Linked DNA regions of Oryzias latipes. Each later gene encodes a partner of the first gene's protein in a complex. Links are inferred from orthologs where the notes say so. Each region holds a gene or a part of one and is shown on either strand. Other genes may lie near its edges. The genes, in order: rad1, rhno1 and hus1.

The links.
Region 2: the proteins of rad1 (region 1) and rhno1 are in contact, whole or in part, in a crystal structure (PDB 6J8Y), measured with the Homo sapiens proteins. The link is inferred for Oryzias latipes from reciprocal best matches to the Homo sapiens genes RAD1 and RHNO1. Residues at the interface, in NP_002844.1 of Homo sapiens: Asn47, Gly48, Ile49, Lys50, Phe64, Ile65, Gln66, Ser149, Lys155, Ile157, Glu211, Ala212, Lys240, Val241, Ser242, Arg244, Gln254, Tyr255, Met256, Phe266, Glu268; in NP_001239428.1 of Homo sapiens: Ser55, Trp56, Val57, Ser58, Pro59, Asp60, Phe61, Asp62, Thr63.
Region 3: the proteins of rad1 (region 1) and hus1 are in contact, whole or in part, in a crystal structure (PDB 8GNN), measured with the Homo sapiens proteins. The link is inferred for Oryzias latipes from reciprocal best matches to the Homo sapiens genes RAD1 and HUS1. Residues at the interface, in NP_002844.1 of Homo sapiens: Asn85, Val88, Asp91, Cys92, Ser94, Ile95, Phe96, Gly97, Ser98, Gly127, Val128, Val129, Thr130, Val131, Cys132, Lys133, Ile134, Asn135, Gln137; in NP_004498.1 of Homo sapiens: Thr165, Ser168, Val169, Lys172, Met173, Asn175, Ile176, Glu197, Leu198, Val199, Cys200, Val201, Thr202, Thr203, His204, Phe205, Lys206.

The regions. Positions count from the first base shown.
Region 1 is NC_019870.2:9,822,316-9,826,533, reverse strand, and holds rad1 (cell cycle checkpoint protein RAD1), read right to left. Parts: upstream 2,920-4,218; 5' UTR 2,767-2,919; exon of another isoform or gene 2,764-2,766; intron 2,065-2,763; exon of another isoform or gene 2,062-2,064; 5' UTR 2,056-2,061; coding exon 1,861-2,055; intron 1,770-1,860; coding exon 1,661-1,769; intron 1,581-1,660; coding exon 1,423-1,580; intron 1,234-1,422; coding exon 1,133-1,233; intron 1,008-1,132; coding exon 909-1,007; intron 700-908; coding exon 513-699; 3' UTR 266-512; downstream 1-265. UniProt on the Homo sapiens protein: Component of the 9-1-1 cell-cycle checkpoint response complex that plays a major role in DNA repair. The 9-1-1 complex is recruited to DNA lesion upon damage by the RAD17-replication factor C (RFC) clamp loader complex.
Region 2 is NC_019881.2:18,846,827-18,850,083, reverse strand, and holds rhno1 (RAD9, HUS1, RAD1-interacting nuclear orphan protein 1), read left to right. Parts: upstream 1-1,392; 5' UTR 1,393-1,556; intron 1,557-1,688; 5' UTR 1,689-1,711; coding exon 1,712-1,870; intron 1,871-1,981; coding exon 1,982-2,623; 3' UTR 2,624-2,744; downstream 2,745-3,257. Other genes in the region: foxm1 (forkhead box protein M1), read right to left, coding at 67-508. UniProt on the Homo sapiens protein: Involved in microhomology-mediated end-joining (MMEJ) DNA repair by promoting recruitment of polymerase theta (POLQ) to DNA damage sites during mitosis.
Region 3 is NC_019878.2:4,320,309-4,324,410, forward strand, and holds the start of hus1 (checkpoint protein HUS1), read left to right. Parts: upstream 1-1,165; 5' UTR 1,166-1,452; coding exon 1,453-1,504; intron 1,505-3,414; coding exon 3,415-3,542; intron 3,543-3,617; coding exon 3,618-3,794; intron 3,795-4,102. UniProt on the Homo sapiens protein: Component of the 9-1-1 cell-cycle checkpoint response complex that plays a major role in DNA repair. The 9-1-1 complex is recruited to DNA lesion upon damage by the RAD17-replication factor C (RFC) clamp loader complex.

The DNA.
Region 1 (4,218 bases):
TGTGATGTGTGTACCGGTACATTAAATAAGACCCAAAAGCCTCACCTGTACAGCTAACTGTTCACTTCAAACACCTCAAATACTAAACACATCCAATAAATAGGAAACTCCTTTAGATTTGAGCATCAACTTTACCGACCTTCCCCTCATATCAGGAAAATGGTACGTTCCTCTGCAGAGCTAGACGGAAGATAAAAGGGGGACTTGGCTGCATGTCAGAACTGAAAAGGTGTCATCACTGCATTTCTAATCTTTAGAAATGACCTTTTAGTGCCCCTTCTGGTTTATTTGTTTTGATTCAGTTTCTGTTCAGACGGCAAATACCCACATTACAAGACATTTAGTCAAGACTTTAGCTCAAAAGCTTGCGTTAAATGAAGCAGTCATCTTTCTATGTTTGCATTCATCAGACTGGGATTGCCTCCTGACAGAGTTCCTCTTCTTGGCTGTTTTTTTTTAAGAGCAACTGGAAACCACTGCAGTTAAAATGCTAGTTTGGGTCAGTCTAAATGTCATTCCTCCTCCTCCTCCTCCACCTCCTCATCAGGACAGTAGTAGAATTCCAGAAAGCAGATCTGTCCGTCATCATTCCTGACCAGGTACTGCTGGGAGAGGAGGCCCCTGTTGTCTGTCCTCACTGAGACCTTACAGGACAGAGCCAGGGCTTTGGTGGACGGCTTCAGGAGGGACATCTTATATCTGTCATGATTCATGAAACAGAAGAAGACATGAATGATGAGCCTTTTTTTCCCTCTCTGTTATATGTAAGGTGGCAGATGTTTAAACAAAAAGAATAGTTGAAAGATGTTTAGGAGAATCTTCAAAATTAAAACATTTTTGAAATGTTTTTTATTTCAGGTCATCTTTTGGCTTTAATGATGCACGTTTCTTCTGATATCTGCACATACCGGTTCGTTTGCGTCATGGTGCATTGAAACAGCTCCATCATGTCCGAGTCTTTGGAATAATCATAATGTGCATTTCCAGAGTTCCCAAATGTTGACAACCTTAAACAGATCAAACAGTAAAGCATTTTTTAAAGCTTAAATATATCATATCTTTTTTTGCTTTCTGATGAAGGCAGACTGTTTATTCAGTGCAGGAGAACAGCAAGCAGGTTTTAGCAGCTCACCTGAAGTACGGCTGGCTGGGGGACATGGTGATCTGAAGCACATCACTGGTCATGTCCAGTTCAGAGAAAGCTTCCTTCAGACTCTCCGACTGCAAAATCACCTTTAAAAAGGGCATTTTTTTCCCAAAGGATTTCATAATAAACACACAAATGCGAGACTTCAAGCTACTAAGCACCTGGATGTAATTAAGTAAGATATTACTTTCACTGTTTTTTCTAATTCAATTAAAAAAAAAATCATCTTTCAAAAGATGAAGCTTTTTCACAAAAAGACAAATGATGACGGGAACCTTATTTGTAACGTTAGTGCTGCAGAACTCAAAATCCATTGGTTCTTCAGGTTCTTGTGTGTTAATCTTGCAGACTGTCACCACGCCCCCCTCCTCCAGGAAGAGAGTCAGAGGGTATCCATAACCTTTGTAGCACATTCGTAAGGCAGTAGAAGTTCCTGCAAAGTCACAACAAAAAAAGATCTAAAAAGGGTTGGAACTAAGTTTGAATTGTGCAAAAAAAAAAAAAATTCTTTACCTGCTACTGCATTTCCTCCAAAGATATTTAGGCAATCCAGCAGAACAGTGAGGTTGATCTGAAAAGTCACCAAATCTTCCTTAAGGGTGAACTCCTGAAAGATCTCTGTCTGGAGTGAAAACAGAACAACTTCTCTTCAGTCAGGATTTCGAATACAAAATTGATGGATGCAAATCCAAAAACAAAGACTGCACACACACCTGGATGAATGCATTGGCTTGAAGACATTTGGAGTCCTCCACAGTGACCTTTAGGCCGTTGGGTGTTGCTGTGAAGACTGCATGATCCTTAAAAGTGATAGCTTTTAGGATGTTGGAGAGATTGCGAGCGTTGTCCAAACTGGCTACTAAAACATAGTGTTCCTCATCGTCCTGAGACTGTGTGGACAGAGGCATTGCTCTGCTGAAAGACAAAAACAGGTTTGCAAGAATCTAAAACAAAACAAATACACTATTTATTTCAGCAAAAAACATTTCAGCTTTCTGGGTATTAATGCCAACATATTGAATCTATTTGATGGACATTCGGCAGGTTAATTCTGATAGGACTGAATTTAATTAAAACTTATTATTCGGGATTAAAAATCATTAGGAGAAAAAATTATATTACTAATATCAATATTTCTAACATTAGAAAGCAACCTTTTTTCTAATTGTATTTAATGATCACATAATAAGGTTTGAGGAATCAATGTTGCATCAAGAAGATGAGAAATGAGATCATTAAACTCAGCTTTAATGAGAAAACTCATTAAAGCTGAGTTTTCTCAACTCAGCTTTAATGTCTAAAAATTAATCAAACTCTTCAAACTGAATTAAAATATATATTTCTTTAGCTTCTGATGTTTATTTTAGCTGTTGTGAATTCACTGAAATTCCTTAATTAACGGTTTTATTTTGCATTGTGAGGTAGTTCAGAATGATGACTTTACTGCTATCAAATTAGCTGCTAATAGTGTTTCTGTCGTATGTTTTTCTTAAATAATATTTTCAGAATTTCCTTCAACTTTGCCATGTTAATAAATTAGCTGTGTTAGCTAGGCTACTTTTTCAGCTTTGCAGCTTGAGATAAGGAGTAATAAACGACACAAAAGCAACTTTTACCTTTTTTTAACTTGCTTTTAAAGGGGTGCTCCACTGATCTATAATTGTCCTGGTTGGTTGGAAAACTGCGGACATGTATCGAAGAAATGCGCCCGATTTGTAGCAACTTCCGGTTTGGTCTTCCCTCAACGGAAGTTGCGTTTCTGTGCGGCACACTATGTTCCAGAGATTTCGCTCCTGAGTCGAAACTGAACAACTCTTCGTGACCGCAACAGCTGTCTCTACTAAGGCCGGTGGTTTGTGATCGTATTTAGAAAAAAGGGTAAGTTTATTGAAATTATCTGGCTTGACACCATGTCTGCTGGTTTTCCGTGTTCGTTATGTAAGCCGCAAAAAGAGCACGAGAAGTTGGAAGCTAACTCACTACGTACCGGTGAGACATATATTTCTCTAGAACTGTTTCCCTCAGGGAAAAAAAAAATACTAGAAATAGATACATGTCGTTTTTAAATAATGGAATATATATTAGATAGATCCGAAATAGTCCTTTAATAAAGCTGAATAACTGAGGCAGCTAACTTAAGCTTCATCAACTTTGCTGACGCAGTTCAAGTTAAGCTAGCTCATCAGGCTGTCTGTCTAACTGTCAAATGTTTATCTTACTTTTGGGACTACAGCGCCACCTTTTGAGGCTTTGTTCTCCTTATATTTTTTTCTTTTAATTACTCAATTTTCCTGCTGCTTTAAAGCAATCAAACTGAGTTGGTCAAACAAAGTTTGTTAAAATTGTTTTTGGACAAATGGTTTTTTAGGAGTTTTTCCTTACCGCGAAGGGGGGTCTAAGGGCAGGGATGCCAGTATAGCTTAGTCAGTTTGTTAGTTCTTTTTAGTATTTTCCTATTGAACTCTTTGTATTCATGATCCTTTTGAGTTCATGTTTTACTTCGAAGCCCATCGAGATGACTGTTGTTGTGATTTTGGGCTATACAAATAAAATTGAATTGAATGGAATTCAAAGGTAGAGCAGCGCTCAAATCTCAATACACGGTCCACAAATGGACACAAATAGATGAATCAAACTTTGTGGCAATATGATACAGTCCAAATCTTCTACCTAATTGTAGACAATGTATTTATTATTCATTTATAAAACTATAAACAAAATGCCAACGAGAGAAACTTACTTACTGCCACTTTTTACTTTTATCAATTAAGCAAAGTCCTTAACATAGAAGCTTCAAACATAAAGACTTGGTATTCTGCGTCTTTAATATTGATTTTCCCCTTGTGGTTATTTGATTTAGGCCTTGTTTGCAGTCCTGTGGGGAAAAAAGGATTGTAATATGTTTATAGCACACAAAACGCATCCCTCCCTGTAGTTCCCCTTTAGACAATTGTAATTGGCCCGACCAGGTAGAAGCAAGCTTGTGATTGGACGTCTTTTTATTTGTATCATTTGGACTTTAAAGTCCCACTCAAATCATCTTTGTGATCTTTTTTAAAAGGTTCCCAGTG
Region 2 (3,257 bases), on another chromosome or scaffold:
AGCAGGTATTTCAGTTAAATGTAGCATTTCTGACATAAAATTTTAAACTCTGTGCAAATTCCTTACAGGGTTTAATGCCAGTCACATCAAGGGATGTGTGAGTGCTTTCTTTTGTTGCTGGTTCTTGAGATGGGATTTGTGTGGAAACAGCATCTCCTCCAGAAGTAGCAGTCTCACAGAAAGATCCGGCTTGATCCTGATTGCCATTGTCACTCAGGAGAATAAACTTGCTCGGACCCTGAACTCCGCTGTCTTTGCCTTTAGCGGCGAGGACACTAATTACACTCTGAACGTCTGTAGCTTTGGGAATGACCACAACCTGAGTGTCTGACAGGGATGGGTGGCCTATAAAGCGGACCCCGTCTGGGAAGCACGAACTGTCGCTGGAATTTGACGGCTCTTTGGAGCCACCGGACTGCCTGGATGGGTCTGCTGGGGTGGGTTCCTTTTGTTGAAAAGGTAACTTGCGCCTTTTGAGGATCAGGGGTCTCCTTGGGCTCCGTCTCATGGTTCAAATCATCCAAAGGGCCTTAGGTGTTCAATGGAAATCTGTGGGGAGGGGGAAAAGGTCTTGAGCTACAGTTATGGCTCAAAAAGTACTCAGAAGTTAAACACCTTATCAATACATTACGTTACAACGTTTAAATACTGACTTTAACGATAACCCCGAACTAGTGAGCCTGAAAACAACATACCTGCTAATAGAATACGAAGTAATCGGTCAAAAATGATGTTTCAATCCTATGATATCGTCTTCAAACTTAAAGAAACCCGATTATTGCTGTCTGTTTGCTGCAAAAGTCCCAACAGTCCCTCGCTCGAAAGTGAAGATTTTATTCGGTTCCCTTGGCGACATGCCAGTCGTTATAATTTTCAGTTGATGATAGGTTTAATTTCAATAACGTCTATCTAGTGGATATTCAGTGCAACATATATTTACATGTTAACACAATGCAATCAATAAAACAAAAAATAAATTCAAAAAATAACATGCGCCTAGCCAATGTCCCGATTAGCGTATAGTTTCCTTTATTTACAGCTAGGCTAAGCTAGCTATGCTAAAGCTGTTTGACGATGGAGGAAACAAGTGGAAAAATGAAGCCAGACCTTCACATTACTGAATTACTGCAGCGTTTCATTCAATTCCAGGCTTGGTTCGGCTTTCAATTCCACTTGTCGGATCAAAGAAAACATTTAAAATATTCACAAAACCGACGTATTTAGTAGTAATTAGATACAAAAAGTCAATCCATAAACAGTTTTGAATTTTGGCGCTGTGGGCGCTGCCCCGACTGTCACTTTGATCACATGGTAACAATGGACCAATAGTAAACGCAGAAAAAAACACTGGGCGGCTCAATAGGTGGCGCTGTGGGCCGCAGCTCGAGATGGCCAGCCGCTAACCCGAAGAAGACAAAGAAAAAATCCGGGAAATTAAAAGTAACAACAACACGGACAAGCTAAGATAAAAAGGTCTGAATGAACCGAAAAATAAGGGAACGTTTTTATTCCGTATTCCGTACATGGACACATAATCACGGAAAAAGCACAATATGGTAAGTAAAGAACGCGTTTCAAAAGTAAACACTTGAATGCGAATATGTAAACAGCCTCGATCTACGACTAAAGCTATGTGTATTGTTAACAAGATTACTCGATCGGATTTGTCTCTTGTTTGTTTTGAACAGATGCTTAAGATTGATTTAAATTGATGCCCCGGAAAGCGGCAAAGACAGACAAGCCTGCACTGCAATTCCTGGAGCGACCTGTGAGTGGCGCCAGACTTCAAAATGTGCCTGAAGTCAGAGCTGCTCTCAATCCCAGAGAGTTTTTCTCCAAGACACACAGCTCTTCAGCTCTCAGTTCCTGGGTAAAAGTCTTTTAAATATATAAAAATATATAAAACATTACAAATATAGATTTAGTTGATTAGATAACTGGCAAAAAAGTCTACTTAACTATAAATTTCCCAACCTTTCAGGTTCAACCCCAGTTTGACATCTCAGCTACACCTCCATTTAGACGAGGAAGAAGAAATTGTCAGTCCGTCACAAGGATTCTTGACACGTGCAACGAGCTGTCCAGGAAACACAAAGTGTGCAAATACCCATCGTTATTATTTCTTAGGGCGGAGAGAGACAAGTCCCATAATCCAAGTGGACAGCGCACAAAGAAAGCGGCAGAGGTGACGTCAATGCCTGAAGATCAACCACAGGGATCATGTCAAAGCAATAGGACAGTTTTACCTGCACCTAAGAGACGAAGAAATCCTCAAAAATCTTTAAACAGAGCTCCATCTCACAGTGAATATTTGCACCAACCTGAAAATCAGTTAATAGAGGTAACGGAGGAAAGCAGAACTCCACCCGGTGGGTGTAGTAGCCCTAGACTTGGCAATGTTGACCCGCCTCCTGAAGTGGACACTCCAACAATGAAGCAGAACAGTTGCCCCATGTCTCCCCCTGTTTGTTCACTGCTGGCTGATCCCTCCTCCCCGCAGTGTCATCTTCATCCTAATGTTTTGGTCTCCGACACACCAGAGAGGGACTATGGGGTGAAGGTGACGTGGAGGAGGAGAAAGGGATTGATGATCATATTAAAGGAAAGGGGCCTCCTCGATTAGTCACTTAAGTTTATTCTATCATAAATCTTTTAATTTTTGTAAAAAATCCTTTTTCATTTCTCTTGCACACCCAAATAATATTATTTTTTCCTGATGTTGCCTGACAAGAATCAAATGAAAAATAAATGAATTTGACATCTGATTAATAATTATTTATTTTTCTAAGTTTTGAACACATATTAGAAATTTAAGTCATACTGGATGGTCATTTGAAGCCCATTTCGTTTTAGAGAAAACCTTTTATTGTTCCCACCTTTTCCCCAGATGTAAACCAATTAGATTCCTTCTAGGAAAACAGCCGGCCAATAGGAGTGCTCGTTATTGGTCCGCTTGGTTGCCAAGGCAGAGTATTCATCCGCAGCTCCTGCGTCCGCAAAAAGCGTTTTTCTTCGAGGAGCCTTTTCCTTAGTAACCGTGCATAAACATGAGTTATTACAGCATAAGGTAAGAGTAAAGCCTTGAAAATACATCCTTACTTATTCACGGACTTCTTTGGTCTTCAGTTTTGTCTATTGTGGCGTGAAAATCCCGCTCGTGTCCGTGGAATTGTGTTGGGAAAACTTAAGTGTCGCCTTTAACTTTGATAAAACGCGGCATCGCAAACATCGGAAAACGGGCTGAAGCAGCTAACGTT
Region 3 (4,102 bases), on another chromosome or scaffold:
GACCTTCTTCAGATGATAAGACCAAACATGGTGTCCAACGTGCTGAAGTTTGAGTTCTGGGTAAAGAGGACTGAGCCTTTCTCTAATCACCCACAAAGACCTGCTGTTTCACCTATGACCATTTTTTTCTTTTTAAACAAATGCAGCAAATATTTAAAAGAAAGAAGGGAAAGAAGATCTGCAGTGAAATATTTCTGCAGTCAGAAACCTTTGGATCTATTTGTCTGACATCAGGATGGAGCAGAATGTGGCTTTACTTATTCAATTTACTTTAGTTACTGACGACTTACAGTCCATCTGTTCCTTCCGTTCACTGAACTCAAGCATCACACAAATCTATCTTGAAGGACCAAAGTTTTGAAGGTTTCAGGTGAAACAAACAGCCAGAGGAGCCAGGACTTGTAGATCATGAACCTTGTGTGATCATTGTGCCGTTTACATGGAATTCTTTAGTGATTTGTGCGCCAATAAAGTAATTTTAACGTGATATGTGCGCCGTAGACGTGATATAAAAGTTATACATGCGTGAAAAGTCTGTTAGACATACGTGGAATGGTCGTGCAAAGCCACAAAATTGCATATACATCTCACAAAAATCACACACAATTGCGTAAGAATAATTGCGTGTAAACTATGCAAAATACACGTAAACTGTGTAATTTTCAACAAACTAAAAATTTTGAACAGCTCAAAACCAAATTCCCACACAGACCTGTCGTCCAAAACTCTCAACGGTTCTGTACTGAGTTTGACCTTTCTAACCTTTATCATAACCACAACACACGGGAATGCACCTGTGTCTCTGAAGGACCACAGCTGACATTTTTAATCATCTATTAGACATGAGGAGCAGATCATTTGCTGTTCAACTAAACTTGTTAGTTCTGAGAGGGTTTTATAACTTACTGAGTCTGTTAATTAGATTTGGGATTTCATTACTGCTGCAGGCTATTAAAGTTTGACATTGTGTTTATTTATTTTTTGACAATCAGTTCAACTTTTGACCTATTCCTTTTCTTCCTGTGTGAGAAGTTTTTTTTGTTAATTTCTTTTAAGATTTTTAACATTTTTAGACTTGATTTTATCTTTATTTTTTTGTTTGTTGATGTGGGCGTAGGTGTGTATAAATTTTGCAACATTATTTTTAACCATTGACTATATAGTCACACTTTTAATGCACTTTGAGCTGCATACAGTGCTGTATAAATAAAGATTGATTTATCCTTTTAATACCAAGTCTAATTCGTTTCAGTTTTTACAACAACTTTCGAATATTCTGGATTTATAAGTTATGTATCTGTTCAGACAGGAACTATTATTGTTTTGTTTCCGGGGAACATTTTACGCAGACGGACCTAACCAAGACAGAGCGCTTTAATGGTTTCCCGCCTGCGTTTGATGCGCAGAAGCTGTGTTTAGCAGAAAACCTCAGTATTTGGTCTCAGAGTCCAGATGAAGTTTCGGGGGAAGATCGTGGACGTGGCGTGTCTGAACCACTTCACCCGTGAGTCACTTCAAACAGCAAAAAAAAAAAAAAAAAAAAACTACCGAAAACTGAGAGCCGACGATGTCACATTCAGTTATCTACGAGCCACTTTCATTCACATTATAAATTTCGTATGTGTAAAAATTCACTTCAATCTGATCAGCAAATAAATCTAATATGATTCTCTTAAATGACGACTTTGAAAAACTTAAAACGTTTGTCGTGTCGCGTTGCATGTTGGGAATAGGAGTTCTGTAAATATATTTTTAAAGGGCTTTTAACCTCAGGTGTGCATTTCTGTTGTTTCTGTACCTGAAATGTATGAGTAAGCCCTTCAATTATGTTCAATTAAATTATTTTTGACGAACATTTTAAAATATTTTAACATTTAATTGATAATGTGACCAATAATAGCAACCAGAGACTGACTTTAGAAACTAGTAGTTTGAAACAAACGAAAATGTATTAAAAGAGAAAACTGCAGTTGGCTTAAACAACCTGACTTCACTTATCTGGTAAACCCAGTGAGTGCAGATATAAAAAAATACTAAATAAACATAAATAAATGTGCCTGTTTTGAGGAGAAATGTGTTAATCTGCCGTATTATTATCGAATAATTGGTGTTATTTGGTAAAGGAAATCTCATTTTGCTGTCCAACTGTTGACTGAAAACATCCAGTAACAGGGCTCCAGATTAACTTTTTTCACTAGGAGCACTGTTGCCCCCAACTGAAAATTTTAGGGCCACAACCAGAAAATTTAGGGGCGCATATTGTAAATCAACATGCTAACCAAATCTATTAATTTCCACTGTATTACTAATAAATACTTTTATAATAGATGCCGAAATTACAACGTGCTGTTTCAAATTCAGTGTCATATTTTATTCTGCACTTTTGAAGATGCAACAAGGTAAACTGACAGCACCATCGCTGTCATGACAGTACAAATAGTAAACAAAATACCATACATTAAAAAAAAGTTTTTAGTAACAAGTGAATACCGTAGTAACCTTTCGGTCATTTCACAGTTTCAAACAATACTTAAATGTATGTAAACATTAGGGGATGGAAATTCATGTTGGCGACACCAAATAGGTGCAGCCAAGATGCACAATAATTTGAGATCACCCAGATGGACGCAACGCTGCACAGATCACCTGGTGTGAGACATATTTTTGTTTTTCCTCAACATCACCTGTCAATCAAAACAAAAATATCACCAGAAAGGGGCGGAAGCAAGACCTCAACCTGAGCGAACGCAGCTAGAAATTTAGCACTGAACTGACTGAAAGCTGCCCTACAGACTACAAAACGATGCATTATGGGACATGCTTCCTGATGGGTTTTTTGTAGTTCACTGATCAATTAAAATAATTTAAAATACCAACTGATTAAAAAAAGCTACATACATTCCAAAACATTAAAATAATTATAAAAGATGTAATATCACAGATCATACTTAAGGGGAGAGGCATGTTAAAACTAAATTGAATGTTAAGGACTACAACTTCCTGCTCTCCTTCAGTCTCGCTGCAGCTTCGCCTTCATGCCCCCCCCCCCCCCCCCCCCCCCCAGGGCGCTGGTTTATCGTAAACCCGACTATTGTTGCATTTTCCACACGTGTTTTAAGTGCGTCTAAGACTAAATCGTCTCATTGTTTATTTCATTGCTCATTTCATTGATCATTGACGTGCCCCTTCCACGTTTAATGTATAAAAAATACGGAGGGTGGGGGAGGCAAATTTACTGGTAGATATCTAGCACATGCTAGATGTAAAATTCAGTCGCACACTCTCAAATTTTGGTCGCAAAATGCAACCAAATGGTCGCAGTCTGGAGCCCTGAGTAACAGGAAATGGTGAACATGTGGAGTAAACGGGTTCAGTGTGTGCTCAGGACTGACAGTGGTTGCTAACTTCCTCCAGGAGTCGTCACCACCATCTCCAAGCTGACCAAGACGTGCGTGCTGCGGCTCAACCCGGACAACCTTTTCTTTGTCCTGTCAGGGAAAGTGGCCAATGGAGGAGTCAGCATGTGGTGTGAGCTGTCACAGGTGAGCAACGCCACCTTTTGGTTTGGATTTGGCATTGCAGGAAGAATATTTTAAGCAATTTTAAACCTACTGCAGGCTAACTTCTTCGACGAGTACCAGATGGAGGGCGTTTCTCCAGAGAACAATGAGATTTGTCTGGAGTTGGCTCCAGAGAACCTGTCCAGAGCCCTGAAGACGATCCAGAATGCCAAATCTGTTAAAGTCAAACTTACCAAGAAGCATTGCCCCTGTCTGACTGTCTGCGCCGAGCTGGTAAGTCCTGCTCTGAGCACTTGACCCCTCAGCTTAGGAGAAACTGTCTTCAGGGAAGATCTGTGATTTTCATAAAAGCTTACTAACAATCTCCCAGTCTCAGGGTTCAGGTTGGTTCTTCTGGGTTTAGATAATTTTACGGTATAGATGATCTCGGTTCTCATAATCATGATATCCCATTGGGTTTATTTGAAGCTTTGAGCAACACCTGCTGTCCACACTTGTGAGCATTCTGTTCTCTGTTTTGGCCCGGATCTTGGCGTTTGGGCCGCTCATCAGAACCGTGACTGGCTGACGTGGATCAGTGG